4 linked regions of the Elephas maximus indicus genome follow. The protein of the gene in region 3 interacts with the protein of the main gene of each other region in a pairwise test. Links are inferred from orthologs where the notes say so. Each region holds a gene or a part of one and is shown on either strand. Other genes may lie near its edges.

The links.
Region 1: the proteins of MAP2K3 (region 3) and ARNT come close enough for resonance energy transfer, tested with the Homo sapiens proteins (2 studies listed by BioGRID). The link is inferred for Elephas maximus indicus from reciprocal best matches to the Homo sapiens genes MAP2K3 and ARNT.
Region 2: the proteins of MAP2K3 (region 3) and PDGFRA come close enough for resonance energy transfer, tested with the Homo sapiens proteins (2 studies listed by BioGRID). The link is inferred for Elephas maximus indicus from reciprocal best matches to the Homo sapiens genes MAP2K3 and PDGFRA.
Region 4: the proteins of MAP2K3 (region 3) and FGFR4 come close enough for resonance energy transfer, tested with the Homo sapiens proteins (2 studies listed by BioGRID). The link is inferred for Elephas maximus indicus from reciprocal best matches to the Homo sapiens genes MAP2K3 and FGFR4.

Annotation. Positions count from the first base shown.
Region 1 is NC_064821.1:184,929,052-184,936,154, forward strand, and holds the start of ARNT (aryl hydrocarbon receptor nuclear translocator), read right to left. Parts: upstream 3,014-7,103; 5' UTR 2,903-3,013; coding exon 2,830-2,902; intron 1-2,829. UniProt on the Homo sapiens protein: Required for activity of the AHR. Upon ligand binding, AHR translocates into the nucleus, where it heterodimerizes with ARNT and induces transcription by binding to xenobiotic response elements (XRE).
Region 2 is NC_064823.1:107,360,395-107,367,770, reverse strand, and holds the start of PDGFRA (platelet-derived growth factor receptor alpha), read left to right. Parts: upstream 1-4,367; 5' UTR 4,368-4,551; intron 4,552-5,025; coding exon of another isoform or gene 5,026-5,169; intron 5,170-5,624; exon of another isoform or gene 5,625-5,708; intron 5,709-7,225; exon of another isoform or gene 7,226-7,376. Other genes in the region: uncharacterized protein LOC126076748, read right to left, coding at 1,771-2,142, 5,026-5,169. UniProt on the Homo sapiens protein: Tyrosine-protein kinase that acts as a cell-surface receptor for PDGFA, PDGFB and PDGFC and plays an essential role in the regulation of embryonic development, cell proliferation, survival and chemotaxis.
Region 3 is NC_064820.1:216,261,529-216,269,002, forward strand, and holds the start of MAP2K3 (dual specificity mitogen-activated protein kinase kinase 3), read right to left. Parts: upstream 3,016-7,474; 5' UTR 2,843-3,015; coding exon 2,794-2,842; intron 1-2,793. UniProt on the Homo sapiens protein: Dual specificity kinase. Is activated by cytokines and environmental stress in vivo. Catalyzes the concomitant phosphorylation of a threonine and a tyrosine residue in the MAP kinase p38.
Region 4 is NC_064820.1:197,382,657-197,390,134, forward strand, and holds the start of FGFR4 (fibroblast growth factor receptor 4), read left to right. Parts: upstream 1-4,469; 5' UTR 4,470-4,742; coding exon 4,743-5,331; intron 5,332-5,420; coding exon 5,421-5,501; intron 5,502-5,615; coding exon 5,616-5,782; intron 5,783-6,345; coding exon 6,346-6,469; intron 6,470-6,997; coding exon 6,998-7,188; intron 7,189-7,318; coding exon 7,319-7,457; intron 7,458-7,478. UniProt on the Homo sapiens protein: Tyrosine-protein kinase that acts as a cell-surface receptor for fibroblast growth factors and plays a role in the regulation of cell proliferation, differentiation and migration, and in regulation of lipid metabolism, bile acid biosynthesis, glucose uptake, vitamin D metabolism and phosphate homeostasis.

The sequences.
Region 1 (7,103 bases), on a different chromosome or scaffold from region 3:
CCCTCCCATCTCCACTCCAGACAGGAGATGCCAACATAGTCTCATACGTCTACTTCATCCAAGAAGCTCACTCTTCACCAGTGTCATTTTCGATCCCATTGTCCAGTCCAATCCCTGTCTGAAGAGTTGGCTTTGGGAATGGCTCCCGTTGTGAGCTAACAGAAGGTCTGGGGACCATGACCTCCGGGGTCCTTCTAGTCTCACAGTCAGACCATTAAGTCTGGTCTTTTTATGAGAATTTGAGGTCTGCACCCCACTGCTCTCCTGCTCGCTCAGGGGTTCTCTGTTATGTTCCCTGTCAGAGCAGTCATTACCTGTGTTTTGACTATGCAAAAGCATCCAACTGTATGGATTGTAACAAATTATGGATAATATCGCAAAGAATAGAAATTCCAAAACACTTAATTGTACTCATGAGGAACCTGTACATAGGCTAGGAGGCAGTCATTCGAACAGAACAAGGGAATACTGCATGGTTTAAAATTAGAAAAGGTGTGTGTCAGGGTTGTATCCTTTCACCATACTTATTCAATCTGTATACTGAGCAAATAATCCCACAAAATAGACTGTATGAAGAACGCACCATCAGGACTGGTGGAAGACACGTTAACAACCTGCAACATGCAGATGACACAACCTTGCTTGCTGAAAGTGAACAGTACTTGAAGCACTTACTGATGAAGATCAAAGACTACAGCCTTCAGTATGGCTCAACATAAAGAAAACAAAAATCCTCACTACTGGATCAATAAGTAACATTATGATAAACAGGGAAAAGGCTGAAGCTGTCAAAGATTTTATTTTCCTTGGATCCAAAATCAACACCCATGGAAGCAACAGTGAAGCAATCAAATGAGACATTGCACTGGACAAATTTGCTGCAAAAGACCTCTTTAAAGTGTTGAAAAGCAAATATGTCACTTTGAGGACTAAGGTGCACCTGACTCAAGCCACGGTATTTTCAATCACCTCATATGCATGCAAAAGCTGGACAATGAATAAGGAAGACTGAAAAAAAGAACTGATGCCTTTTAATTATAGTATCTGACAAAGAATATTGAATATACCACGGACGGCCAGAAGAATGTACGAATCGGTGTTGCAAGAAGTACAGCCAGAACGCTCCTTCTAAACAAGTATGGCGAGGCTTCATCTAAAGTACTTTGGATGTGTTATCAGAAGGGACCAGTCTCTGGAGGAGGACATCATGTTTGGTAAAGTAGAGGGTCAGTGAAAAACAGGAAGACTCTCAACAAGATGGACTGACACAGTGGCTGCAACAATAGGCTCAAACACAACAAAATTGTGAGAATGATGCAGAACCAGGCAATGTTTCGTTCTGTTGTACAAAGGGTCCCTGTGAGTCGGAACTAACTCGACAGCACCTAACAAGAGCTCTAAATATTTTTCTTCCAAATGGGTAGCTAATTATTTCAACATCATTTGCTGAACATCCTTTCCTCACTTATCTGAAGTTTTTCTTTTGTTATACCATAAATTTCTATAGATTTTTTACTGTCTTTTTAGACTTTCATTCCGTACTAATATATTTTCCCGTTCATATACCAGCACTGAACACTTTCGATTATAGCAACTTTATAGTACATTTTCATTATCTAATAGGAAAAAGCCCTCCGTTGTCCATTAATTTATTTTTCAAAACTTTCCTATTAATGTCATACACTGACTTCTGCTCCTAGGATGATGGGAGTAGACATATGTTTCCCTATTCCTCCCAATAAGTACAACTCAAAATCCTGGACATTATATATAAAAGAAACATAAGACGACTTTTAAAGGTGGGAAGAATGCAGGCCAGCTAGGGATCTCACTACTCAAAGAATGGCACGGTAGTGAGTTCCCCTGGGTTTTTTCTTTGCCTCGTATGTCCTAGACTTGAAGCTGAAGAAACCGACAACCTGGAAATACCCATGGGGTACAGACAAAAACAAAAGCCTGCTCTCTACAGTCAACGGACCAGGAAAAGGGGCAGTCTAGCAGAAGAGAAAGTTCTTAGGTAGTAACCACTCAATTTCAGTCAAATCCCACGCAAAAAAACTGTGGTCCTACTTCTACCCATGCCAGCAAAGGCTGAGTAGGGAGCCTACACTTCCACCCTAACAAGGAAGTAATAACATACCCCAATACTTTCCGCAGGATGATGTCAGAGAAAGCCAAGTAGGGACCCAGAATTTTCATCCCCACTGGTTGGAAATGAAGGCCCACCTCCCACAATGTCGAAGGAGATCACATGGAGAACCTGGATTTCTACCCCCACCCAGTAGTCATGAAGTACTGCGCATCCCCCAACCCTCCACTGGGTGGTGTCAGATGAAGCACAGTGGAGAGTCAGAATTTCACACTGCCCAGTGGTGACGAAACCATTCCCATCATGATGTCAGTGGAGACAGTATGAGGAGCAGGAACGCACATCCCCACCCAGGAGTGACAAGAAGCCCCCTCCCCAAATCAACAGAGGCCACAGGCTTCTACCTCCAAGTAGCAGTAATGTGGCTACACTCCCTTCTTTCCCTGCCAAAGTGATGTCAGCGAAAGCCAGCTAAAATTGTTGTTGTTGTTGTTAGGTGCCGTCGAGTCGGTTACAACTCATACCGACCATATGCACAACATAACGAAACACTGCCCAGTCCTGCGCCATCCTCACAATTGTTACTATGCTTGAGCCCATTGCTGCAGCTTCTGTGTCAATCCATCCGGTTGAGGGTCTTCCTCTCTTTCGCTGACCTTCTATTTTACCAACCACATGTCCTTCTCCAGGGACTGATTCCTCTGGATAATATGTCCAAAGTATATAAGACATAGTCTTACCATCCTTACTTCTAAGAAGCATTCTGGCTGCACTTCTTCCAAGACAGACTTGTCCATTCTCTTGGCAGTCCATAGAAGGTTGAAATAAGATCCAGTGTTGCGTAACAGGTTTCAATCAAACATTACTCATCAGACCAACAACCTGGAAAATCTCAAACTGAATGAAAAATGACAATCAATACATGCCAACACCGAGATAACACAGATGTTAAGATAATCTGACAAAGATTTTAAAAAGAGCCATGATAAAAATGCTTCCACGAGCAATTGCAAAATAACATAAAACAAATGAAAAAATAGAAAGTCTCAGCAAAGAAACAGATGATATAAAGAAGCAAATGGAAATTTTAGAACTGAAAAACACAATAGCTGAAATAGAAAGCACAAGGCCTTAACAGCAGAATGAAAGGAACAAAGAAGAGAAATCAGTGAAACAGAAGATAGGACAACAGAAATTACACAATCTGAAGAGAAAGAAAGCGCACTGAAAAAAAAATTGAACAGAGCCTCAGTGATGAGTGGGGCTTTAACAAAAGTTTCATGTTATTGGAGTCCTGGAAGGAGAGGAGAAAGTAGAGAATGAAGAATATCTCTGAAAATTTCCCAAACTTGATAAAACAAAAACCTACAGGTTGAAGAAGTTGAGCAAATCCAAAAAAGGATAAACCCAAAGAAATCCGTGCCAACATACATCATAATTAAACTTCTCAAAACCAAAGACAAAAAAAATCTTGAAAGTAGCCAGACAATACCTTAAATGATATCTTACCTACAGGGAAAAAACAATTCTAAGGACAGGATTTTTCATCAAAAACCATGTAGGCCAAAAGAAGTGGCACAGTATTTTTCAAGTTCTGAAACAAAAACTGCCAACACAGAATGGTATATGCAATGAAAATATCATTCAGGAATGAAGGGGAAATCAAGACATTCTCAGATGAAGGGAAACTAAGAAGGGAATTTGTCCCCAGCAGACCTATATCCTAACAGAATGGCCAAAATAGTTTCTCTAAATAGAAAGGAAATGATAAAAGAAGGACTTAGTAGTATCAGGAATTAAAAAAGACATAGTAAGCAAAACTATGGGTAAAATCACACTTTGGTGAGAGGCGTCTGGGGTCTTAAATGCTAGCAAGCGGCCATCTAAGATGCATCAATTAGTCTCAACCTACCTGGAGCAAAGGAGAATGAAGAACACCAAAGACATGGTAAGTATGAGCCCAAGAGACAGAAAGGGCCACATAAACCAGAGATTCCATCAGCCTGAGACCGGAAGAACTAGATGATAATGCCTGGCTACCACCTATCACTGCCCTAACAGGGAACACATCAGAGAGTCCCTGATGGAGCAGGAGAAGAGTGGGATGCAGATCTCAAATTCTCATAAAAAGACCAGGCTTAATGGTCTGACTGAGACTGGAGGGACCCTGACAGTCATGGTCCCCGGACCCTTTGTTAGCTCAAAATTGGAACCATTCCCGAAGCCAACTCTCCACACAGGGATTGGACTGGACTATAAGACAGACAATGATACTGGTGAGAAGTGAGTTTCTTGGCTCAAGTAGACACATGAGAATATGTGGGCAATTCCTGTCTAGTGGCGAGATGAGAAAGAAGAGGGGGACAGGAGCTTGTTGAATGGACACGGGGAATACAGGGTGGAAAGCAGGAATGTGCTAATTAGCGGGAGAGCAGCTAGGAGTACCTAGCAAGGTGTGTATAACTTTTTGTATGAGAAACTGGCTTGATTTGTAAACTTCTACCTAAAGCATAAAAATAAATTTTTTTTTAAAAAGGAAAAAACATGGGTAAAATCAATAGGCTTTTCTTCTCGAGTTTTCTAAATTAAATTTGATGGTTGAAAAATATTAACTTTGAGGAAATATTTAAGACAACTATAAACAGGAGGGTAAAGGGTCCTAAAGGGAGGTAGGGCTTCTATACCTCACACAAACTGGTAAAATCACCACACAGTAGACTGTGAAAAGCTATGTATATATAATGTAATACCTACAGTAACCACTAGAAAAGGTATACAAAGAGATTCACTGAAAATCACAATATATGAACCAAAACTGAATTCTTAAAAAAAAAAAAAAGTTCAAGTAACCCACAGGAAGATGGGAAAAATAAAAGAGGAACAGAAAACAAAAATAAAATGGCAAACTTGAGTCCTAACATATCAATAATTATATTAAACGTACATTATCTAAATACACCAATTAGAAGACATAGACTGGCAGAGTGGATTAAAAAATATGACCCAACTTAGGCTGCCTACAAGAAATTCACTTTAAGTATAATGGTAGAGACAAGCTGAAAGCAAAAGGATGAAAAAGGATATATGAAGCAAATAATCAAAGGAAAGCAGGAATGGCTATATTAATAATAATCAGAGAAAGTAGACTTCAAAAAAAGCAAAGTACTACAGACAGAGTGGGACATTGTATAGTAACAAAAGTCAATCCACCAGCAATCCCAAATCCTCAACAACCCAAACCCATACCATCAAGTTGATTTCAACTCTTAGTGACCCTTTAGGACGGAGTAGAACTGCCCCACAGGATTTCCAAGGGTGTATATCTTCACAGAAGCCGACTGCCACATTTCTCCCTCGGAGCGGCTAGTGGGTTCAAACTGCTAACTTTCAGTTAGCAGCCAAGCACTTTAATAACTGTACCACCAGGGCTCCTCAAATTCTAAACAGCAGAGCTTCAAAATATGTGAAACTAAAACCGAAGGACCTGAAAAGAGACAAAACCACAATTATGGTTGGAGACTTTCAATAACCTTCTCTCAACAACTGATAGAACAACTAGAAATAAAGTCTACAAAGATACAGAATTCAACAGCACCATCAATCAACAAGTTCTAACTGACATTTATAGGAACACTCCACTCAGCTCATTCTTTTCAGGTGTACACAGAACTTACACTATACCCTGGGCAGTAAAATATCAAGAGAACTGAGTGTGTTCTCCAACCAAAAAGGAATCAAACTAGAAATCAAAACAGAAAAATCACAGAAATATCTCCAAACACTTGGGAACTAAACAGCATACTTCTAAATAACCAGTAGGCCAAAAGGGAAGTCTCAAAGAAATAAAAAAAATACACAAACCACCAATATCGGGAATGAAACAGGGATATTGTTACAGACCGTGAACACACAAAAAGGAATAATGGAACACACCCGTTGCCATCAAGTCAATTCCAATTCATAACAATCCCATAGGACAGAGAAGAACTGCCCCATAGGGTTTCCAAGGAGCTGCTGGTAGATTCAAACTGGTGACTTTTTGGTTAGAAGCTGACCTCTCAACCACTGTACCATCAAGGCTCCAATAAGAGAATACTAAGAACAATTTACACGTGTAAATTTGACAATTTATACAAAATAGATCACTTTAAAAAAACCGCAACTGAACCACTGTGCAATAGATATTTTGAATAGCCCTGTAACCACAAGTGTACCTCATTTTATTGCACTTTGCTTTTTTTTAATTATTCTGCTTTAAGTGAAAGTTTACAAATCAAGTCTATATGAAGAAGAACGGGGCATCAGGATTGGAGGAAGACTCATTAACAACCTGCGTTATGCAGATGACACAGCCTTGCTTGCTGAAAGTGAAGAGGACTTGAAGCACTTACTAATGAGGATCAAAGACCACAGCCTTCAGTATGGATTGCACCTCAACATAAAGAAAACAAAAATCCTCACAACTGGACCAATGAGCAACATCATGATAAACGGAGAAGAGACTGAAGTTGTCAAGGATTTCATTTTACTTGGATCCACAATCCACAGCCATGGAACAGCAGTCAAGAAATCAAAAGATGCATTGCATTGGGTAAATATGCTGCAAGGGACCTCTTTAAAGTGTTAAAAGCAATGATGTCACTTTGAAGACTAAGGTGCACCTGACCCAAGCCATGGTATTTCCAATCGCATCATATGCATGTGAAAGCTGGACAATGAATAAGGAAGACCGAAGAAGAGTTGACACCTTTAAATTGTGGTGTTGGCGAAGAATATTGAATATACCATGGACTGCCAAAAGAACGAACAAATCTGTCTTAGAAGAAGTACAGCCAAAATGCTCCTTAGAGGCAAGGATGGCGAGACTGCATCTTACATACTTTGGACATATTGTCAGGAGGGATCAGTCCCTGGAGAAGGACATCATGCTTTGGAGAGTACAGGGCCAGAGGAAACGAGGAAGACCCTCAACGAGGTGGACTGACACAGTGGCTGCAACAAGGAGCTCAAGCAT
Region 2 (7,376 bases), on a different chromosome or scaffold from region 3:
TGGAATTGTGGGACCCAAATTCTACTAGCTTTATATTTCCCAACGCCTTTCTACTTGAGGACTTTTTTTTTTTTTTTTAATCACAGGGCCCTGCTGTCCTCCTGGGACTTCCAGAGGACAAGGCCCTTTCTTCAGTCAGGATGACCTAACCAAGAGCCAGCCTCCATCACCTCCTGGCCACAGCTGTGTGTTGGAAAGCTGGCTGGCTGAGGCCCCTAATAAAGAGCAGACCTCCCCATCTCCTCATTCCCTCCCCCATCCCTCACATGAGTTTTCAAATTAAAAGCAACTGAAAACTAAGTCCTGAGGAGAGAGGGAAGTAGGAGGCACAAAAATATCGCCAGACTGAGGAGGCCAGGAAAAGGTATCAAAGAAATCCAGATCCAGTGGAGGGCCAGTCCAGCCACATCTTTCCCGGGCTCGTGAGTAGCCTATGGCCCCCTTGCTGGGCTGAATCATAAAACACAGTTAACAGCTTGGGTCCTTAGTTAGGTCAGTTAGCACGCTATGGTGCTAGGAACCCCTCAGTGAGGGTGCTGCTGGTCATGATTCTCTTCACTGGAAACTGCTTTCTACTACTTCTCTCTGCAGAGGGGATGGGGTTCAAGGGACCCTGAAGTGGCGCTGTGCCTTTAGATCCAGTCAGCAGACAAGGAGGAGTGGAGGTGTGTGAGGGGTCCCAGAGAGAGGCTAACTGCTGTTCCAAATTACCCACCAGCCTGAACCCTTCTGGAGAGGTTTTCTTCCTCCTTCTCCATGACTTGGGCCTCTCTGAATTCTGAGCGTGCAAAGCGGTACAGAGCAAGCTTTGGAGCCTTAGCTGAGGCAGGCCCCAGGCAAGGGCGGAGCTCCTTCCCACTTCCCCTGGGGACCCTCACATCTGTGCTCCACATCCACAAGCTCCTCAGAGCCTTCTTGGCCAAGGTCCCTTCGCAGGGCCCAGGGAAGTGGCTCCTCACGCGCAGTCAAGAGTTGAATGGGGGAGGGAGGGGTAGTTAGTGCCGTTTTCTTTTGCAAACCACCAAACTGCTTTTTATTTTCAAATGGCGAAGCCAGAAACCTACCCCGCCCCTATTAACTCTTAAAAAAAAAAAAAATTGCAAGTCTGTTTAAACGTCAATTTCACAACAAGGATTTTGATAAAGAAGCCCTGGTGGCAAGTTTAAGCGCTGGACTCCTAACCGAAAGGTCGGTGTTTGGCCCACCCAGCGGCTCTGAGGGAGAAAGACCAGGCGATCTGTTCCCCAGTAGGACTGGTGCTTCAGGATTACAGCCTACAAAACCCTATGGGGCAGTTCTACTTTGTCACATGGGGTTGTTATAAGTCAGAATTGACTGGAGGGCACCTAACAACAACAATCACAGGTCTTCTAAAACAAAAAAACCTTCTGGAATCTCCGAGGAAAGGAGAATTGGGGGCGGAGCTGGGGGGGGTGTCGGAGCAGAGGAGAGCAGACAAAAAGCCAACTCTGCGGGAAACGCCCACGAAAGCCAAAGGTGGGACGCTCCTAGGAATTGGACCTGCGAGCCCGGGAGGCAAGGCAGGGAGAGGTTTCTGTTTTCAGTGATCATTTTCATTTGTTTGTTAAAAAGTTTTCAGGGCTCTCGTTTTGAAGGCTGGCTCAGCTACTAAGTCTCCTCTTCCTACCTTTGCAATCGATTTCGTGTGGCCTGCGGGCCTAGCCATGGGAGGCCAAAGTCAGAACCGCTGCGCCCCGAACCCCACCGCTTTCCCAAATTTCCCTCTGCTCAGCTCGGGAGTTGAACCACCTTCTCCTCCGGTCGCTGTAGCCGAACTCCCAGTTTTCGGAGAAAACCCTCATTCTTAACGCCTTGATGCTCTCGCAAGGAGAAAAAGCATGAGAAAATCTGGGTGCAGGCCGCGACCTTTGCCAGCAGCCCAGGCCAGAGTTCCTCACCCCTCCCTCCCTCGGGGCAATGGCCCGCCTCCGTAGCCCGCCTCGCCTGCGCGGCTTCTTGCAGGTTTCTGCTCACGGGCGTCGGGGCAGTAATCTGGAAGGATTTTAGAGCAACACGGAAAGAGGGCCGCTCGGCTTGCCCATCTTCCTTGACACCACCGCTGAGCGATCGACGCAGACCTGACCTCTCGCGAAGCCGCGGACCAGGCGCGTAGGGCGGACACTACATTCAAACCCGCCTATTAGCAGTGGGAGGGGCGGGGGAGCGGGATTGCCGGGCAGGACGGGGTTTCTGGAACGAACAGCCTCTGTTCCAGGGCCTCCTGCCCCGAGGTTGCTCCTGACCACTGGGTTTATTTTGCTTTTGCAGGGGAGGCAGATGTTGACCTCTCTGTCTTTGCTTGGTCCCGACTAGGCGAAATCTGCCCCCAACCATTTGCTTCCCTGCGCCACCCCCCACCGGCGCGCTATCCCCGGAGCCAGCTCCCCAGGCCTTTAAACCGTCGAGAATGTCACACATGGAAGCCTTTAGCAAATGTTTGTTAATGATCATAACAAAGGCATCATTCAAATTAGGCAGGTAATTACTACCAGAAGGACAACTGGGTGCTCGCTGGCTCATCCATTCTCTGGGCTCTAAAGGCGAAGAGTTACGGCCCGAAGAACACCCCCCTGCCCCGCCCGCCTAGCCTGCTTTTCGGGCTCCTTTAAGCGTCTCTGAAATGAACTGTGAAGTTACTATTTGTGGGCGGGGAGCGCTGGGGCCCGGCTTGCAGGAGACCCCGGCCGATCCCGCTGGCAGTTTCCCGGCTGCAAAGCAGACCCTCCTGGGTAGACTCCCGGCCTCACCTCCTGCCCTCTTGAGCACCTGGAATAAAAACCTGGGTCTCAACTTGTCTTCAATAACAGCATGAAAGCCACCCCACTTTTTTCCTTTGTTCTGCTTTCTGCATTTGTTTTGGGGGTTCGTTAGTCTCTGTTCATTATCTACAAACATTACGGTATCCTGTTAGCATTCCGAACAAGGGGCTGTTCATATATTTGCCTTCAATGATTTCCTGAAGGAACATGTGGAAGTAATAGCGGGCCCGTGCAGTCACCCGAGCTGAAGATGCACGAGAGGCGGGCGTGCAGAAGGGCCGGGGGAATGGGGCCCCCAGCCCAGCCCCAGGCGCCCTCCTTCCTAGCCCGACACCCCAAAAGTCTGGTCCTGTTAAACTCAGCACCCTCCCTGCCCACTGCCTTGTGCCCACCCTCCGGGTTAGGGAAGAGGTGACAGCTGTCCAAATTGCCATCCTCATCCGGGCTGCTCCAGCAACTCTGAGGGTGTGCGTGTTGATGGGGGAAGAGGGGTATAAAGATCACCCCTACTCTCCCAACAAAAGAATTCAAAATTAGAGAAAGCAGGGAGGTGAAAGCTCTCCCCTCCCCCGCGCTCGCTCGGAAGCCCCGCTCAGCCTAAGCCTGGTTCCTGGAGCGTCAGCGCCCCCTTTCCCTCGCGAGCAGGATGGTTCTCTCCCGTCTCAGTCTCTTGCCTAGCGCCTTAGGCGCAGGATTTGGGGCTCCGCTCTCAACCCTAGGGCTTTCGTAGGGTCTGACCTACTAAGGTAAGGGGGCACCGGTGGGGTCAAAACGCACCCACCCCCAGGACGCAGAGAAGGCAGGCTTGTTGTAGACGATCCCCAAATGTCCAAGCGTGTGCCTTTTTGTATTCGAGAAAGAAGACTGGGTCACCTCGCCCAGATAACCCCGAAAACAAAGGCATGACAAGATAAGTGGCTCCATGGGAGTAAAGGTCTTTCTGCCAGAGAGATATCCAAATTCACACAGACCCTCGATTCTTTCTAACCCCTTTCAGACCCAGTCTTTTAACAAACCATCATCGTCATATGGGACTATAGAGTTTGCCTAATCCCATTAAAGGATTAGCAAGGACACCGCACTTTTCCCAAAAGATACCAGGTTCAAAACGACGCAACCGCTTGGAGACTCCATCTCTAGTTGCACCAGGAGTTTCACCAGAAGGGACATTTCTAGATTCCAGATTTATATTCTTTCTGGCCATTAACTGCATTTTTATGTGTTCTTTTTCAAGAGAATACAAAACAGTAGAGCAGCGGAGGTTAACATCCCCCAATTCGGGAGGCAAACTCATTCTGGAAATGATGGTCAGTTTGTATTTTCACGAAACCTCTCTCCCTGCAGAGCATCAACACCTCCCCTATCCACCACCCCCACCCCATCTGGTCGGCTTCTCCCCGCCCCCCAGTTGTTGTTGAAGTCTGGGGGGTTGGGGCTGGATCCCCTGACTGTGTAAGAGCAAAAGCGAAGGCGCAGTGTGGAGGCTGGGACAGTCAGAGTGCCTAGAGTTCGAGGGAAACTTTTATTTTGAAGAGGCCAAGGGGGGGGGGGGCTTCATTTTCTGACAGCTATTTACTTAGAGCAAATGATTAGTTTTAGAAGGATAGACTATAACATTGAATCAATTACAAAACGCGGTTTTTGAGCCTATTACAGTTGGAGCTAGAGGGAGAGAAAACAGGAGGGAACTGCAGGAGAGGACTGGAGACCGTGGACACACTTTTTACTCCATGTGTAGGATTTTCATTGCGGATTGACATAGGAGGAGAAGGTAAGAGAGAAGAAAAATGATTTTTATTTCTAAGGGAAGCCCTTGATCAGACTGTGGGCTGGAAGAAGTGAAGTAACTTCTCTCGAACTTTGTGCGTTGAGAGGAAAAAAAAGGAGTTGAATTCCAGTTATGTGTCTAGAGAATAATTTATTCTGAATAAACCTTACTTGGGGAGAAGATAACCATAGAGTTAGAAAGTCTGGGGATTAAAAAAACACATTTTCCAGACCTATTTTTAAAAGCAGTGTTTTTCCAACAACCCTACGGCCTCTCAGAGAAATTGTTTAGGCTTACATTTTTGAGGTTTCTTTTGGGGGGTAGGGGTGGTTTTCGTGGATACTAGGACGAGCACCAAATCACCCTGGGGGTGAGGGCAGAGGTGTTTTGCCCTCTTCTTGGCAATGGGTCCTGGAGGGCGACAGATTTTTTAAATGAATATTTTCATTCCTCCCCCGCGGTTTGGCGGGACAGCACTGGAACCCGCGCTGTGGAGCGCGGCTGGGAAACGAAGGGAGCGAAGAGGCCGAGCGAGACGCCGGGAAGGGGCTTCGGGGGCCGGAGAGGCGTGAAGGGCTCAGCTGGAGGAGGGCGGACCTGGGATGCCGGCCGGGTGCACATGGCGCCGGCCGAGCGCGCGTAATTACTGGACGGCGCTGCGCCCAGAGACAGTCGGGTCCAGTCTCAGCACAGCTGCGGCGGCTGCAAGACGAGCAGAGGGGGCGCGGGCTTGGGCGAGGGTTTGGGGCGCTTCCCAGCCATTTGCCGGGTCAAAGAGGTGAGAGGGAGAGAGGGCGCCAGCCCCGCAGTGCGCTTGGGTTGCGGGGGCGGCAGCGGCGGCGGCGCGGACTTGCGGTCTGGAGTAATGACAAACACATTTGGCCTCGAGTGAAGAAGTCGTCGTCGCCTCGCATTCCAGCAACTGGGATTTGAGGAATTTAGAGTTGCGCTCCTAGAGGCTCTTGTTGTGCGCGGTGGTCTCCCGCCCCCACCCGTCCCTGCACGCTCCCCTCCTCCTTTGGAACCGATTCTGCAAAGCCTTGGGCTTTGCTGCTGGCCAGTCCCGGCCTCAGGAAGCAGAGGGAGGTCTCCAAAAAGTGCTGGATTTCTTGTGGGGAAGGAAGTTAGGGACGTCTCGAAACGGAAAAACTTGTTTCCAGGTAAGACAGAAAGGTGGGAGGCGACCATTTTCTCTCCTTCCCTCGGGGCACCGGAGTCCTGGAGCGCCCCCCCCCCCAGCCCTCTGTGCTCCTCTCCGCGCCGGTTGCGTGGCACTTGCCGCCTGCGCGCGCCCTGCGCTGCTTCATACTCTTCAAGTGCCCTTCTTTCTTAGTCCCCTCTTTGCGCTTGCGTCCCCGCCTGCATCGGAGCCTCGCGCCCCTCCTTTCTCCGCCGTCTATCCCCTTGGAAGTTGACTTTTACGTGTGAGATTAACTTCTCCTGCAGCGCCAGGGGAGCGGGCGGCGTCCACTTGGCTCCGAAACAACTGGGCTCAGCGGCTCTGTGCGGAAAGTGTCTTGGCCACCTCGGAGCGAAATAGGAAGCGTGACCCGACTCTCTTCCGGCTGCCCGAGGCAGTCAGGAGCCCGAGAGGCCCAGCTAGGTGTGCAGAAGCTGCCGGTTGGCGTGGTTCTGAGTCTTGGCTGGGAAGAAAGTGCTGTGTTCGTCCATTGTCCCTCTCTCCCGCAGCCAGAACGCGCGTCCCACACTTCGCGCCCCCAACCCCGGCAACACTTAAGGATTGGCAGAAAGAGTGCCTGGGAGAACTTGGCACTTACTTCTTCTCCAAGGGTGGGAGGCAAACGGGGCTAGGGAGAGACCGTGGATGGCCTCTATCAAGTCCAGGTCGCTCCGCGCCGGGCCCAGTCCCTTGGAAAAGTCCTGGGCTGGGCGGGATGGGAAATAGCTTTTTTGGCTTCGTGGCCGAATTGCTCAACGTTTTGGACCGACTCGCTTCACTGCGGTCGCTCCCTACCAGAACTAGGCAGCTTTTTGGAGTAGTGGAGGCATCTAGGGCAAATGGAGCACAACAGTCCTCAGCCGCACAGCGCGCGGACCAACACCCTAGCCTAGCGAGACCCGGGTCCGTCGGAGGGGAGGAAGGGGCACCCCGGCGCGCACACCTCACCCGCTGCTGCGTGGGGTCTTGTCTTTACACCCTTTCCCACTTAACCGACTTGTACCCTGGTGCTGTTGCATTGAGTCCCCTCCCCCTTCCTCTCCCCTCGGCCTCCATTCCACAATCCTTTCGGTGAGGAGCCCTTCCTGGCTTCTTCGACAGGCGAGAAATGGTGGAATTGGGGGTAGCGGGGAGCAGACTAGCCTCACTTTGACTCCCTGTTCAGTCGCTGCTTGTAGGCTTTGCACAGTCCTGTTCTTGGCTTGACCTAAGTGCAGCTAGATTTTAGGCTGGGGGGGGGCGGGGAGGTGAGGGGGCGGGGAGGAAGATGGCAATCGGTCGCGGAGAATGCGCCTGCCGCTGACCCCCAGTGCCTCGGTCTCTTCGCCAGCTCTTAAGCTGATAGGGACCCGGTGCAGAACCGGGGCTCCTGGCTCACGGCCCGGGGACGCTTTCCTCCCAAGGCGCGGGCTGAGGAGGGGTGCAGGGGGAGGGACATAGGGCCGGGCTTTCCAGCTGCAAACGCGTCTGGCGCCGAGGCGGGCGGTTTTGCGCCTCCTGGGGACGGGACGTGGGCGGCGCGCCGCGCCCGGACGCGTCCTGGGGACGTGGTGACCAGAGCCTTCCTGCAGACCCTAGCGGGCGGGACTCCCTCCGGCCTCCTGGGAGCTGCGACCTGGTTACATATCACTGGTGGGAAACGATTCTG
Region 3 (7,474 bases):
AGACAGCAAACCAGGCCGTGCTATGAAACGTGCCCCTGCACACTGTCCCGAGAGCCACCAGCCAGAAAGACAGCAATATGTGGGCAAGGAGGTCGGGGGACCTTCTGCATTCATGGAAAACCCTCCACCAGCAGGGCGCCGAGAGAATCTCAGTACAGGGAGGGTGAAACGGAAGCTCAAAGGTAAAGCTCTTTCAAGGTCAAATGCCAACCCCTCCCTGTTCTGTTCCAGCTCTTCTGAGAAAACTGAGAAGAGCTCAGTGCTAGGGGCCCTGTGCCCAGGATGTGAAGGGTACTGGGTCAGGACCCCAACCTTGTGGATTCAGTCCAGCATCTCCTACGTCTGGCCTCAGTTGTGTCATCTGTCAAATGAGTCAGACTGCAGTGAGTGTGCCATGTGCCAACTGTAAAGGGCTGTGCATGCATGCAAAGGCAAGGCCTCTGCCTCACTCTGTGCTCCACGTCTGGGACTGGCCAGGAGGAGATGCCCCCTGACACAGGGCTCAAGCATCCAGCATGAGAATGGGGTGTGGGGGCAAATGGGGGAGACCACACAGCAGACACACAGTCCTGGCTAGAATCCTGGCTCCAACCATCCTGGCTTGGGGACCTCAGGCAAGGCACTTAATGCCTCCAAACCTCAGTGTCCTTATCTGTAAAATGAGGTCGCAGGCTGAGAAGCATAAATGAGAGGGTGCATGGCACATGGAAAAGAGAAGGGGCACAACATCCTGTGCCAACCCCAAAAAGGCTGATGGGGGAGGCCCCTGACCTTCTGCCCAACCCTCCCACATCGCCTGTTCCCTGTATCCACAGATAGACCAACACCCTAGCCTCCCTGCAGAGGCCCAGAGAGGGCAGCGTCAGCCTCAAGTTACCCAGCAGGGTCCCTCCCCACCGGCCTTTGCCCATCACCCATGCCCCCTCTCCCTTCACAGCCCTGTAATTCTAACTTCTATTTTGATGAGGCACCCCTGCCTTGAATAGCTGAAAGTGCCTCCAAACACACATTGCTTCCGATAAGTTCCTCCAACCCAGGAGCGCACAGGCTAGCAAAACTCAGTGTGCCATGACAAAGCCAGCCCAGACCACGCTCCTGAGTGGGGAGTGTCCTGCTGACCGGCTCCCAAGCTCCATGAGGTCTGTGCAGAGCGTGCCCCTCCCCTGCCACCTCCCCCAGTGAGTGCCTCCCAAGTTACTCACCGCAGTTGGGCAATGGTCAGGGATCCAGCCTCCCACTTATGTAAGACATAATTACTCTGCCCACCCAGCTGGGCTCTGGCCCACAGCCATGGAAGCCACCAGCAGCAGGGCCAGGCAGGGCCACACCCGCCCCCGGACCCCACACAGCCTCCCACAGCCCGGGCCCCTCCAGCACTGATTAGGATACCACTAACTGCTCCTGTGACCTGCTTCACCCCACAGTTGCAATTCAAACAGAGGTACGTCCTTGACCCTGCATGGCTGAGGCCTTTCTAAAAATAAAAACTGCAACAATAGAAATACGCACAGCCCTGTCCCTTCCTGAGCACCTACTATGTGCTGGGCACTGCACTGAGCTCTTCACAACATTTTCCACCTCTTTACACGCACTGTCATATGTATATATCACCTCTCATCACAGCACCCGTGCCCCCTGCCACGTCTGTGGAAGGAAGGTGTGATTACCCTGGTTTTGACTGAGGCCCAGAGGCACTAAAAGGCCTGCTGGGGGAGGTGGCCCATTCATCACAACTATGTCCGGTTTGGAAATCTCTCACACGGCCCAGTCTGCTGAGATTCTGACACACCAAAACATCCTTTCCTCTTCCTGCAAAAAAATCCCCTTTTTGCCCTCCAGGCCCGTCCTCCCCCCTCTGCATGACAAATCCCGCCTGGCCGCCACCTCACAAAAATTTCCAGGAAGGCCTGCGACTTGGAAAAGACAGAGCAAGCCCCTTTCGAGGTAAGCACCCTGGTCTGGCAGCTGGCCCAGGACCCACGGGCCGCCAGGCGAAACAGGCCTGGCAGCAACCAGCCTGGTGCCTGGCAGTGAAGCCATGGGTCCAGTGTGGAGCCGGGCACATGAGGGTACAATAGGAGCAAGGAGAGGAAGGGCCGAACGTCAGAGGGGGTGGGGGCCTCAGAGTGGCCACAGATTAACGAGGAACCTAGAGTGGTTCCGGAACCAGCGTTGCAGGGTGGGGGGTGTAGGGCAGGGTGCAGAAGCATCTGGGGAGAAGCCCGGTGCAGCCAGCGAGGATGGGGCAATGTGGGGGCCCACAGGGACAGAGCCAGCCAGTGAAGGGGCCGTTCTGAGCTGAGGTGTAGCCAGCGTACCCGCCTGGGGTGGGGATGCAGCAAGGTCCCAGCAGGGGAACTCACTGAGGTCCAGATGGAGGGATCAAAGTTAAATACCAACCTGGACACAGCCAAGGGATCAGGTGGGAGCAGAGTGCGGCCCACCTGGGTCCCGCTAAGGACCCCGGCCTGGGAGTCCCCTGGTCAGGATGCAGCCCTAAGGCCCACTCTGCGGGTCAGAGAGAGTTCCCGATTCCCGACAGGAGAGGGGGTCAGAGTGCGGTCCCAGCCTCTGTCAGCCCCGGGAGCTCCCAGGCCTGCGTGCAGCCCCAAGGTCCACACTGGGGGTCAGAAGAGGTCCAGCCCAGCGTCGGATCCGGGACTGGACAGACTTGAGAACCTGAGGCGCTGTCGAGTTCCGGATGGGTGGGCCCCCAAGGAGGCCAGGGTTGCAGGCAGGCCCGGGCCCGGCCTGGGGGCGGGAATCCGACCGCGGGTCCCGGCTGGCTCCTACCTTTGGACTGGGGCGCGCTGGGGGGCTGGCTCGAGGCGGGCGACTCCATGGTGCAGGCGGGCCGGCGGCGCGGCGATGAGGCCTACTCGAGGGGGTGGCGGGCTCGGTCGGGGCCGCACGGACTCATGGCTGCGGGCGGGCGGGCAGGCGGCCCGGGCGCGACGGGGCAAACGGGCGGCGGTGGGAGGACGCGACCGCGGCGGGCGGCGCCGTAGCCAGACTGGGCAGAGCCTCAGGGGCCGAGCTAGACGGCGCCGAGACGCAGGCCCCGCCCCACGCGCCGTTTGGCCCTCCGTCTCCAGGCCGCGCTCCGCAGCCTATCAGACTCCAGGTTCGCCCCTGCCCGTCAAGCACAAGACCTCGCCCCCCCATTTGTTCAGCTGCAGACCCCGCCCACTGCCTGTCAAGCCCGCCCACCACCCGGGAAACGGGGCCGAGCCAGGCTCCGCCCCCTTCTTTCTAAAGCCGGGCCCCTGCCGTTGCTTGTCAAGAACCAAGCACCGCTCACTTCCCGCCGGGAACCTCCGAGCCCCGGCCTCAGGCTGTTCGGCATTAGGCCCTGCCTGGCGCGCTGATTGGCCACCAGTTTCCAAGGCGCGTCTCGGGACCCGTCAGACGCCAGGCCCCGCCCCGTCTATCAAGCAAGAGGCCTAGACCTCCGTTCACCCGGAATCAGGCCCCGCCCACTGCCTTTCAAGCCCGCCCTCCGCCCGGGAAACTAGGCCCCAGCCAGGCTCTGCTTTACTGGGTCCAGAGCCGGGACCCTCCCGCTCCCTGTCAAGAGCCAAGCCCCGCCCACCTCCCGGGAACCTGTCAGCCCGCGTGCAGCGCCCCCTCCCCAGCCTACCCAAGCGCGCCAGGTGCAGGGGCGCGACCTGGGGTGTGTTGTCTGGGAAAACCCTGAGATCTCGGAGCGCGGCCGGCCAACCCGGCCGGGGCCCAGCGCGGCGGCAGACAGGGTGTTGTGGAGAGGCTAAAGCGCGCCCCGATGAAACCTGTTTTACGTCCTGACTGCACCTTTCCAGCGGGGATTACCTGGGGTGACTCAGGCGATAACCCTGAGCCTCCGTTTCTCTCTCTGTAAAACAGTGCGACAGCAGCCCGTGCCACGGAGCTTTGCTCGCGAGGACGGAACAGGCGTCCGCAGGCGCTCAGGACGCATTTGTTTAGTGAATAGGAAGGGCTGCACGCGTCCACACACATGCACTCTCCTCCAGCCGGTATCAACGTGGGGTGTAGGGGTGCGGGGGGAGCGACACCGCGCTGGCTAAGAGGCAAGGAAAGTAGCTTTAACGGTTGCTGTCGTTACTACCCGACCCCTCTCCCGTTCTACACATGGGGAAACTGAGTATAAGGGAGTCGAGTGGCACCTCTCAATTCATTTTACTCAGTTCAGGGGCCCCGGTGGTCCAGTGGTCAAAGTTCTTAGCTGCTAACTGAAAGGTCATTGGTTCAAAGCCACCAACCCCTCCACAGGAGAAAGATGTGGCAGTCTGCTTCCGTAAAGATTTACAGCCTTGGAAACCTAATGGGGCAGTTCTACTCTGTTCTGTAGGGTCGGTATGAGCAGGAATCTACTCGAAAGCAATGGGTTTGGTTTTTTGGTTTGGGTTACTCAGTTCAGTAGGCCGTGACCAAGCTCTTATCCAGGCTTGCACTTTGGCCTGGTCCTCTCCCCTCCCCTCTTGGGGCCCTATCTGCTCATCTATAATGGCTGGTTGGATCTTCTCCCTTCTGCTCCCACTTGGAGCCTCAGGGGATTTCAGGCCCCACCAACCAAGCTGGCACTGGCATCCAGTGCCCAGAATGAAAAGCCACAGGCTAGAGAGGCAGGAAGGCCCTGCAGAAGTTAAAGGAGTCAGTCATTGCCCTGGGCAGGCATGGGTGTGGGCTTGCCTGATGGGGGTCTCCTGTGACTCCAGCAGACAGGTCTGCTGAAAACACTTGGAGCAGGGGGCTGACCTCTGCTTGCCCTTCTGTAAAACAGAGGCGACCCCACAGGGCCCCACCCACACCAGTGGGGAGGGCCAGATGAGATAAGGAAGGATGTGAAGCAGCCTTATAATTATCATTATTCTCTTCCTGCATCTCTGGCTCACTGTCTTAGTTATCTACTGATGCTATAACAAAAATACCTCAAATGGACGGTTTTAACAAACAGAATTTTGTTCTCTCAAAGTCTAGGGGGATAGAAGCCTGAATTCAAGGCCCAGGCTCCCGGGGAAGACTTTCTCTCTCCGCGGGTTCTGGGGGAAGGTCCTTGTCATCACTCTTCCCTGGTCTAGGAGATTCTCAGCCCAAGGACCCCAGGTCCAAAGGACATGTTCTGCTCCATCGCTTCTTTCTTGGTGGCAGGAGGTCCCTCTCTTCTTTGCTCACTTTTCTTTTATATCTCAAAAGAGATCAACTCAAGATACAACCTTCAATTGAGGCCTGCCTCATTAACATAACTGCCTCTAATCCTGCCTCATTAATATCACAGAGGTAGGATTTACAACACATTACATCAGATCACAAAATGGTGGACAGCCACACAATACTAGGAATCATGGCTAGCAAATCGACAGACATTCTGGGGGGACACGATTTAACCCATAACATACGCTTTCCAGGCAATGGGATGGAAAATTTTGATCTTTGGACTCAGGCACAGGTTCAATTCCCAACTCCAGATGTTGGACAAGTCACTGAACAGCTCCACACCTCAGCTTACTTACCTGTCCCACAGGGACAGTAAGATCTCCCTGAAGTCATGCTTGAAAGTGTCTGGCACAGGGCCTGGCACACACTAACTGCCCAGGAAAGGTAAGCTCAAGGACACACTGTGAGCCACCTCCTACAGGAAGCCATCCAGGCTGTTCCACTCTGGGTGCTCAGGGAAGAAAGAGGCCTGGAGCATTCTATTTCAAATGGGCCACTTGAGCTAGTCATTTCACCTCAAGAACATACCAATACAGATTCTGGCTCAGGGCCTTTGCTTGCTGTCCCCTCTGCCTGGTGCATCTTTCCCCCATGATTCCCTCAGTTCTCCCCAGCAGCCTCCCCAGTCATGGCCTGACATCATTGTTTGTTCTCTGCCCAGCACCCACCCTGCCAATGCCAGTCTTCTTCACTGTTTTTTAATCTGGCTCACTCCCTTACAGCATCCGCCTCTCCTGAGCAAAAATGTTGCCCACCCCACTCCCTGCTGCATTCCTGAGCCATAGCCCAGGGTGGCACATAGTGGGTGCCTCATAAGTATTTGAGAAATGAGCAAAGCAAGAAAGGAAAGAATACCACAGCCATCCATGGAGTGACTCCAGTCCAATGCAGGCCTCCCGGGCACCCAAGGAGTTTATGGATTAGTCAGGGAGCCTGACAAACAGCCTAAGAATCACAAAACCTGATGTGGGATGCTATAAATAGACACATGAGCATGAGGCCAAGGAAGGTGCCAGAACTCTACCTGGAGTGAGGTCAGAGAGGGCTTCTCAGAGGAGGTGACTTTAAGACTGAACTCTTAATGGCCAAACAGGAGTTCACCAGGCAGAGAAGCAAGAAAGCAAGGCTGGGAGGAGCAGTAGAGGCAAAGGCTAGGGGTATGACTGGGCTACACGTGGGGCCAAAACATGGTGAGGGCCAGACTGGCATGCAAATCTGAGTTGGGTGGAGGGGGAGGCACCCCACTGCAGAAACCACAGACCTTCTTATTCTCTTGCTGGCTGGTTGTAGCAATATCTGTGGACCTCCTCTGCCTCTTCATGGTCCAGTCAGGCTGGGGCACCTCATGACCCCTTAGAACCAGAAGGGACATTTGACATGGGCCACCACCACAAGCCTCTTACCCTGACTCCCAAAAGAAAAGTTCTAAGTACTCCTCTCTGGCGAGACAGGGACACTGAAGCTCAGAATGGGATGGGGTGTGAGCTGAGGTAGGCAGGACCTGGGAATCAAGGAAGGAGAAAGAATGGTTCAGACCCACCGTCATGGATTGAATTGTGTCCCTCAAAAATATCTGTCAACTTTGTTAGGCCATGATTCCCAGTATTGTGTGATTGTCCACCATTTTGTCGTTTGATGAAATTTTCCTATATGTTGCAAATCCTATCACTATGATGGATTAGCGGCAGTTATATTGATGATATCTACAAGATTAGATAGTGTTTTAAGCCAATCTCTTTTGAGATATAAGAGACAGAGGCAAGCAGAGGGACAGAGGGACCACATACCACCAAGAAAGCAGTGCTAGGAGCAGAGCCTGTCCTTTGGACCTGAGGTTCCCACGTGGAGAAGCTCCTAGACCAAGGGAAGATTGATGACACGGACTTTTCTCCAGACTCAAAAGAGAGAGAAAACTTTCCCCTGGAGCTGGCACCCTGAATTTGGACTTGTAGCTACTAGGCTGTGAGAGAATAAATATCTCTTTGTTAAAGCCATCCACTTGTGGTATTTCTGTGACAGCAGCACTAGATGACTAAGACATCCAGGATTGGGTAGTTCGTTCACTCATTCAACAACTCGTTATAGAGAATTTACTGTGTACCTGGCAGGGAGGGCACAGTATTGAACAAGACAGACACAGCTCCTTGCTCTTGGGGAGGGGACACAAGGTGGATGTTATGGATTGAATTAAAAAATGTCCCCCAAAAATGTGCATCGACTTGCATAGGCCATGATTCCCAGTATTGTGTGATTATCCACC
Region 4 (7,478 bases), about 19 Mb from region 3:
GGGATGAGGAGAACCATGAAAGCTGTTCTTGAAAAATAGCCAGTTATTTTCTGGTTTACATTGGGAGCTCTGGTGGCACAGTGGTTAAGCGCTAGGCTGCTAACCGAAAAAAACCGAAAGTTTTGTTCAAACCCACCTTTTTGCTCTGCGGGAGAGAAATGCGGCAGTCTGGAAGCCCTGGCCAGCAATTCTACTCATCTTGTAGGATAGCTATGAGCAACAGGTTTGGCTTGGGTTTATCTTTGGGAGGGGACCATTCTTTTGTTTGAGAACGGGAAAAAACAAATTGCTTTAATTATTTTGATTTTGCAAAGGTAAAACTGCCATTCCATTGAGAATGAGGGTGGAAAGAGCTATACTCCTCTGCATAATAATGGGGAAGGAAGCCGCTTCTGGAAGGTTATCCACAGGGATAACCAGAGGGGGTCCGAGACCCAGGCTTAAGGATTTCCTTTCTTCTCAAGGAGACTTCAGAGATGCAGAGGACTTGGGCTTCAGGTGAGGGTGGATGGAGGTCAAAGGTCGGCCAGTCTCCTACTCTGGCCACTGTCTAGCAACTCAGGGGAAAAGGGCTTGCAGGTGAGGTGGGAACTGAGCCAGGTGGGGACAGAACTATTGGGGGGGTAGGCTTGAGGTGAGCCACTGGGGAACCTACTGTGTGCCAGGCACTTGAGATAAAATGGTGAGGTCTGCAGGCACAGTTCCTGCCTTTCAGGAACTTCAACATCATTCACCTATTTACACAATTAATCTTTTAGTTACAATTCTGGCAAGTGTAGTGAAGACAACAGGCCCTGAATAATCACAACTAACATTGCAAAGCAAGCGCTCTGTGCCAGGTAGTGTTCTAAAGGTTTTACACACTGACACGTCTACTCTTTGCACCAATCTCTTGATCTTGGTACTATCCTTATACCCATTTTACTGAGGAGAAAATGAAGGCACACAGATGGAGTAACCTGCCAAAGTCGTGAGTGCTGGTGCTGAGATTTGAGCCCACATGCCTAGCCCCACAGTCTGTACTCTGGGCCACTTCACTCCTGCTTCTCCAAGTTCACAGGAGAGAAGGCATCTAAAGAGAAGCTGGCAAGCCCAGGGGGCTTCCCTGAGAAGGTGCTGTTTGAGCTAAGACCTAAAGATGAGATGGATCTAACCAAGAGGAGGAAGGACACTGCAGGAAGAGGGAACCGCAGTTGCAAAGGTCCAGGGGTAGGGTGAGAACGAAGAAGAAGTGAATGAAGCCTTCATATGGAGACGGGGCCAAGTCAGGGGAATCTTTATATAAAGAGCTATGGGAAGCCATTGGAATTTTAGAGAAAGTGGTTGATGTACTTGAATTTTAAATATTATTTTGAAAGTTGTGCAGAGAACGAATTGGAGGGGGTGGAAGAAATCGCCTATCCGCTTCACAGCAACTGCGCAGAAGACAAAGAGGTCAGGCTGGGCCAAGATCTGCAGAAGGCAGCCGGCCCCGACTGTGGGGTCTTATTCCCTGAGGGCTGAAGAGCAGGGGGTATTGCGGGGTAAGGGACTAGAACTGGGAAGCCTGGCCAGGGGCGAAAGAGGCGGAGTCTGAAGGGACGTGCAGTAGGTCTTGGCGGCCCGGGAGTGGGCTGACCCGGTAGACCGCACAGCTGCCGTCGAGTTCGGGCGCGGGGCCCTGGTGGGCGGGGCGCTCGGCTGCCAGAATTAGGAGGCGGGGCGCTGGCGGTCCGGCGGCCACGCCACTGTCAGGATAGAGCTGTTGCAGGTGGGGCAGATCCCTGGGGGCGGGGCCCTGGGGGCGGGGCTCTGGGCCGCCCGCGGCCACGCCGCTGTCGCGGGTGCATTCCTGGCTCTTCGGCCCGGGGCAGAGAAGCGCCCGGGCTGAGTCTGCGGGCTTCGCCGGGCGTGGGGTCAGGCTGGCCGGAGCCGGGAGCGGAACCGCGGAGACGTCAGGTGAGCCACGACCCTGTGCCAGGAGCGGGACCCCGGAGGCTCGAGGTGAGCGGGGACCCTGTGCAGGTCCAGGCTGCGCTCCCAGCCGCCAGGGGGCGAGCGGCGGCAGGGCCCCGGGGGCTGCCCCTTCCCAGCTCCGCGGACATGGGCGTCCGGTCGGCGGGGGGTGGAGGGGGCAGTAAATCAGTAACCCGCAGCGTACACAGGGCCTTTTGTCCCGCTCCGTCCAAAGAGCACCCTGGCCATGGAGCTGGTTACTCATTGCCCACCCGGGCGAGGGCAGGGGCGAGGGCGAGGGTGAGCCTGCCATCACGGGACCCACCAACCCGCCCCTCCCCCCAAGGTGGCCCTGGAGGACCATCTGCGCTCCCGGTTTAGGGATGAGAAAGCTGAAGTTCTGAGAGATGCAGTTACTTGCCCAGGGTCCCCAAGCGCGTGAGTGCAGGAGGAAGGAGGAAAACCCGAGTATGCATGATGCCAGAGGTGGGCCCTTGGCCCCTTGTGCCAGCTGCCACCTCTGGTCTGGGAGGGCGGTCACAGGCCATGAGTGAGTCCCACTGAGGGCTCTGCGGTCAGGACAGCTTCGGGGTGGAAATAAAACCTCCGGGGCCTCCCTACCCCACTCCCAACCTAAGCTGTGGACCCAGGGAGCTGCCATCCATGCAGAGCAGAGTGGGGTGAAGGGCTTTGATAGAGAAGGCATTAGTGAGCCTGGGGGGACGGTGGCACAGAGGCAGTGGCATCGGAGCCAGGTGGAGAAGGGCAGAGGTATGGGCTGATGACTTTAGTGGTTCTCAAAGTGGCAGAAGGTGAGGCCAACAAGATTGGCATGAGCAAAAAAGGAGGCCTAGGATGCTGGATAAACAGTGTGGGCTTGATCCTGCAAGCCACAGGTAGCCATTAAGGGCTTGTAAGCTGAGGGGTGACATGCCAGACTTGAATTTTTGAAAGTCCTGCTGGAAGGTGGAGGCTGAAGAGCTCAGGGAGATGTTGCAAGGGTCCAAGCAAGAGATGACCATGACCTGGCCTGGGTCGGAGCAGAGGAGGTGGGATGGACTGGAGGGAGGTTGAGGAGAACATCTAGGATGTGGGGTGTGGTGGACAGGGTTGATGCCTGGGCTGCTGACTCTGTGAGGACAACCCAGGGAAGGCTCAGTCTGAAGGGGAAGATTATGTCTTTGGCCAGAACAGATTGAGTGTCCCCCATCCCAGTCCCAGAGCTGGATGAGGAGCAGTGGCTGAGGAGAGAGGGTGCAATGGGCTTCCTGGGCAAGATAGATCCAGAGATACCAGTGCACTTGGCTGTTACCCAGCCCCAGGTAACAGCCACTAGGCCTCTGGGGCTACAATGGTCACCCTATTCCCCTGACCTAGCTGAGGCTCTGTTCTGAGTATTCCTTTTGGGGTACAGAGATATCCTGGGTGCAGGAGGGTAACCTGGATGAGGAAAGTGTGTATATCACTCTTGACAAACAGCACCAGAAACGGAGATGACTGGCTGAAGGCAGACCCAGGGTAACAGGTGAACAGTCACCTATATGGACTGGAGGGAAGCAGGAAGAGAATATTCCAACATACGATGTCCCCAGTCTCTACATACATTGTCTCTTTTATCCTCAAAGCAACTTACATAAGAAAGTGGTCCAAAGAGGGACAGGGACTTGCAAATTTGTAAGAGTCAGGATTTGAACATGGCTGTGTCTGACATTACAGTCTACATTCTTTATAAAACCCTGTGTTGCCTTAGATGGAGTTGTGAGGGGACAGGAAGCAGAGGTATCCCCAGGATGCAACTCTGGTTCAGAATAAGAATTTGATCCTTGGCATGGGGTGTGCTGTCTTGTTAGTAGTGAGTGCCCTGCCACTGGAGGCATCCAGAGCCAGTCATGGAAATGTCAGCAATGCTCTAAGGACTGCGGGTCAGATCAGACAACTTCCAAATGCTGAAGTTTTGCCTTGTATTATATTTCAGATTTTTTTGGCTCTTCAGCAAAAAATTTATTTATTCAGCAAAAAGTAAATTATGTGCGATGAAAGCGAGCAGAAGATGTGTCTCCATTCTCTACTTCCCTCCAAGCAAAGAATCCCAAAACTGTTCTTTCTGTGAGCTTGTGCCAGGGTCCCAGCAGGACCCGAGATGAGCAGGAAGCCCAGCCCCACCATCCACACAACCTGCTGTGGGGAGGCCTTGGGCTCTAGCAACATCAGAGCTGGCTCCATTCTCTGCCCTGTTGTGGCCTGGCTGGGGGCCTAGACAAGTCTGCTGACCATTTCCTGTCTCAGTTTCCTCATCAGCAGAGTGGGCATGTGTCACAGGTGGGTGTGTATCAAGAGCTCCTCTCCCTCCCTGTTTCAGGAAAGCAGTCGGTGTGAAGCCCAGCCCGGGTCTGAGTGAGCAGCAGGAAGGAGATGTGGCTACTGTTGGCCCTGTTGGGAGTCCTCTTGGGGGTGCCCAGGGCCCCAGCCTTGTCCCTTGAGGCCTCTGAGGAAATGGAGCTGGGTATGGCCCTGAGGGGGGAAAGGGTGGCAGGGGTGGGAAGAGTGGGCACAAGGAGGGGACTGCTGGCTGAGCAAGGCTGGAGAGGATCCTGGCTCAGGCCCTGAGGGGATGGTGGCAGGGCAGGCCCAGCCATTGAGACTCAGTGTCTGGCTCCCAGCAAGCACCTACCTATCTCTGTGTCCGAGAGCAAGGAGGGCCCTGTGGGGCGGAGGGCCCTGAGCTGGGCTGCAGAGCTGGTGGTGAGCCCCTTGGCTGTGTGTGTGTGAGTGTGTGTGTGCTGTGCACTGAGTGTTGGCATGGGAGCATGTGCAGTGTATACAGTATGAGTGTGATGTACTCCAGAGGCGTGCCCTGTGTGTGGCACCTACAGCATGTGCCATGTGTGTCTTGGGCAGTGTCATGTCCAGCATGTATGGACGTGCAGTACATGTGTGATGTGCCCCTGAGGTATGGCATTTGCCCTGTGCGTAGTACCTGTGGCATGTGGCTGCGTGTGTGTCGAGGAACAGTGGCGTGTCCAGCATGTGACACGAGATGCTTGTGCCCTTTGTGTGCAGCATGTTCTCTGTGTGCAGGGGAAGGGCCCAGTGGGCCTGCGGGGCTCACTGATTTCTGCCCTCGGCCCACAGAGCCCTGCCTGGCTCCCAGCCCAGAGCAGCAGGAGCAGGAGCTGACCATGGCCCTAGGGCAGCCTGTACGGCTCTGCTGTGGGCGGGCTGAGCGTGGTGGCCACTGGTATAAGGAGGGCAGCCGCCTTGCACCAGCCGGCCGGGTACGGGGCTGGAGGGGCCGCTTGGAGATTGCCAGCTTCCTGCCCGAGGATGCTGGCCGCTACCTCTGCCTGGCACGAGGCTCCATGCTTGTCCTGCACAATCTCACCTTGGCTGTGGCTGGTAAGAAGGTCTGGCAGGGAGCGAAGGACTACCTGAGGAGAGAGATGCCCCACCTGGACCTCAGATGCCACCCTCTATCACTGATGCAGACTCCTTGACCTCCAGCAGTGATGATGAGGACCCCAAGGCCCACAGGAGCCCCTCAAATGGGCACGTTTATCCCCAGCAAGGTCAGTATGAGTCCTCGAGGACTTTTCTCACTACTGGAGAAGAGACCTGTGTCGGAGCAGGTGGTCATCCTGGGGCACTAAGCTCTCCCTCCCTTCCTCACCCCTCCCTTCCAGCACCCTACTGGACACACCCCCAGCGCATGGAGAAGAAGCTGCATGCGGTGCCTGCAGGGAACACCGTCAAATTCCGCTGCCCGGCTGCCGGCAACCCCACACCGACCATCCGCTGGCTCAAGGACGGACAGGACTTCCATGGGGAGCATCGCATCGGAGGTATTCGGGTGAGTCTCCAGGTTCCAAGACCATCTGCTCACTCATTTTCATTCCTTCATCTGTCCCCTCATACCTGTAAATCAAACCCACAGATTCTTCTCTAATGAGGAAGGCAACTGCCTGACCCCAGGATGAGCCAAAAACTCTGGACTTGGATGGTTCTGGTTCAAGTTCCCAACTCTGCCACTCGCTGGCAAGTGATTCCGTTCATAAACTGGAAAGAGTCACTGACTGATGGGTCTAATCAGCTTTATTAGCTCTCATTCTCATAACAAAACCCCACAGGGCCACTCCGCTCAATAGTGAGAAAACTGAGATTCAAAGAGGTTAAAGACAGGCTCAAGGTTTGCACAGCTGGGGTGAAGCAGAGCTAAAACTCAAAAGATTCAAACCTAGAGCTCCGGCAGTTCTCAGAGCCTTCTCCTCTGTCCAGGGTCCCTGGCCTTGGCCTGGCCTCTCCAGGGCTTGCAGAGCTTGAGATGAGCCCTTTAGGCAGGATCTATCCTTCCTGTGCCCTGGCCCCGGTGGTGCGTGGGCTGTGGCCCCTCGTGGACACTTCCCCTACCCCCAGCTGCGCCACCAGCACTGGAGTCTGGTGATGGAGAGTGTTGTGCCCTCAGACCGTGGCACATACACCTGCCTCGTGGAGAACTCTGTGGGCAGCATCCGCTACAGCTATCTGCTGGACGTGCTGGGTGAGCGGACTGGCAGGGGAGGTGGGGTGGTGGGGCCTTGACCTGTCTTGGGCCCAGTCCTGTCCTTGGATAGGGCCTGGCCTAGCAGGCAAGATGGGCTTGATCTTAGATGATTAAAGCAGCTCAAAGTGACCAGGTGGGTCAGATGGAAGCACAGGGGCAGTGCGGGCTTAGAGAAACAGGGATCTGTGGGGCGGAAAAGTAGGGAAGGCAGCCCAGCAGAGGGCAGAGGCTGAGTAAAGGCCCCTAGGTGTAAAGACCACAAAGCATCTGGGTGGAGGTACGTGCCAGGGGTGTGGCATTTAAGTGAGGAGCCAGACCAGGGAGGGTTTCGAATGCTAGGCTGACAAGTTGGGCTTTATCCCAAGGGCACTGGAGAGCCATAGAGGGTTTAAGCAGGGGGTGGACAAGGTCTGAGCTGCATGTCAGAAAGGTCCCTCCTTCGAGCCAGGGGGTGCCTGGAGGCAGTGAACAGGGTGCCTCTGTGGGTGCCACTGGTCAGGGTTGACGGCCCGGCCTGGCCCCCAGAGCGGTCCCCGCACCGGCCCATCCTGCAGGCAGGGCTCCCAGCCAACACCACAGCCGTGGCAGGCAGCGACGTGGAGCTGCTGTGTAAGGTGTACAGTGACGCCCAGCCCCACATCCAGTGGCTGAAGCACATCGTCATCAATGGCAGCAGCTTCGGTGCCGACGGCTTCCCCTATGTGCAAGTCTTGAAGGTGCGGCCCTTGCTAGTGCCTGAACCCTAACCCGGCCCCCATCCTGGGACAGCCTCCAGCTTCCCTCCTACCCTTGCCACGGGTGGCCCCAGGCCCTACTGTGCCCCCTGAGTATGTCCCCCGCCCCCAGACAGCAGACATCAATAGCTCAGAGGTGGAGGTCCTGTACCTGCGGAACGTGTCCGCCGAGGATGCGGGCGAGTACACCTGCCTGGCAGGCAACTCCATCGGTCTCTCCTATCAGTCAGCCTGGCTCACGGTGCTGCCAGGTGAGCACCCAAGGGGGCCAG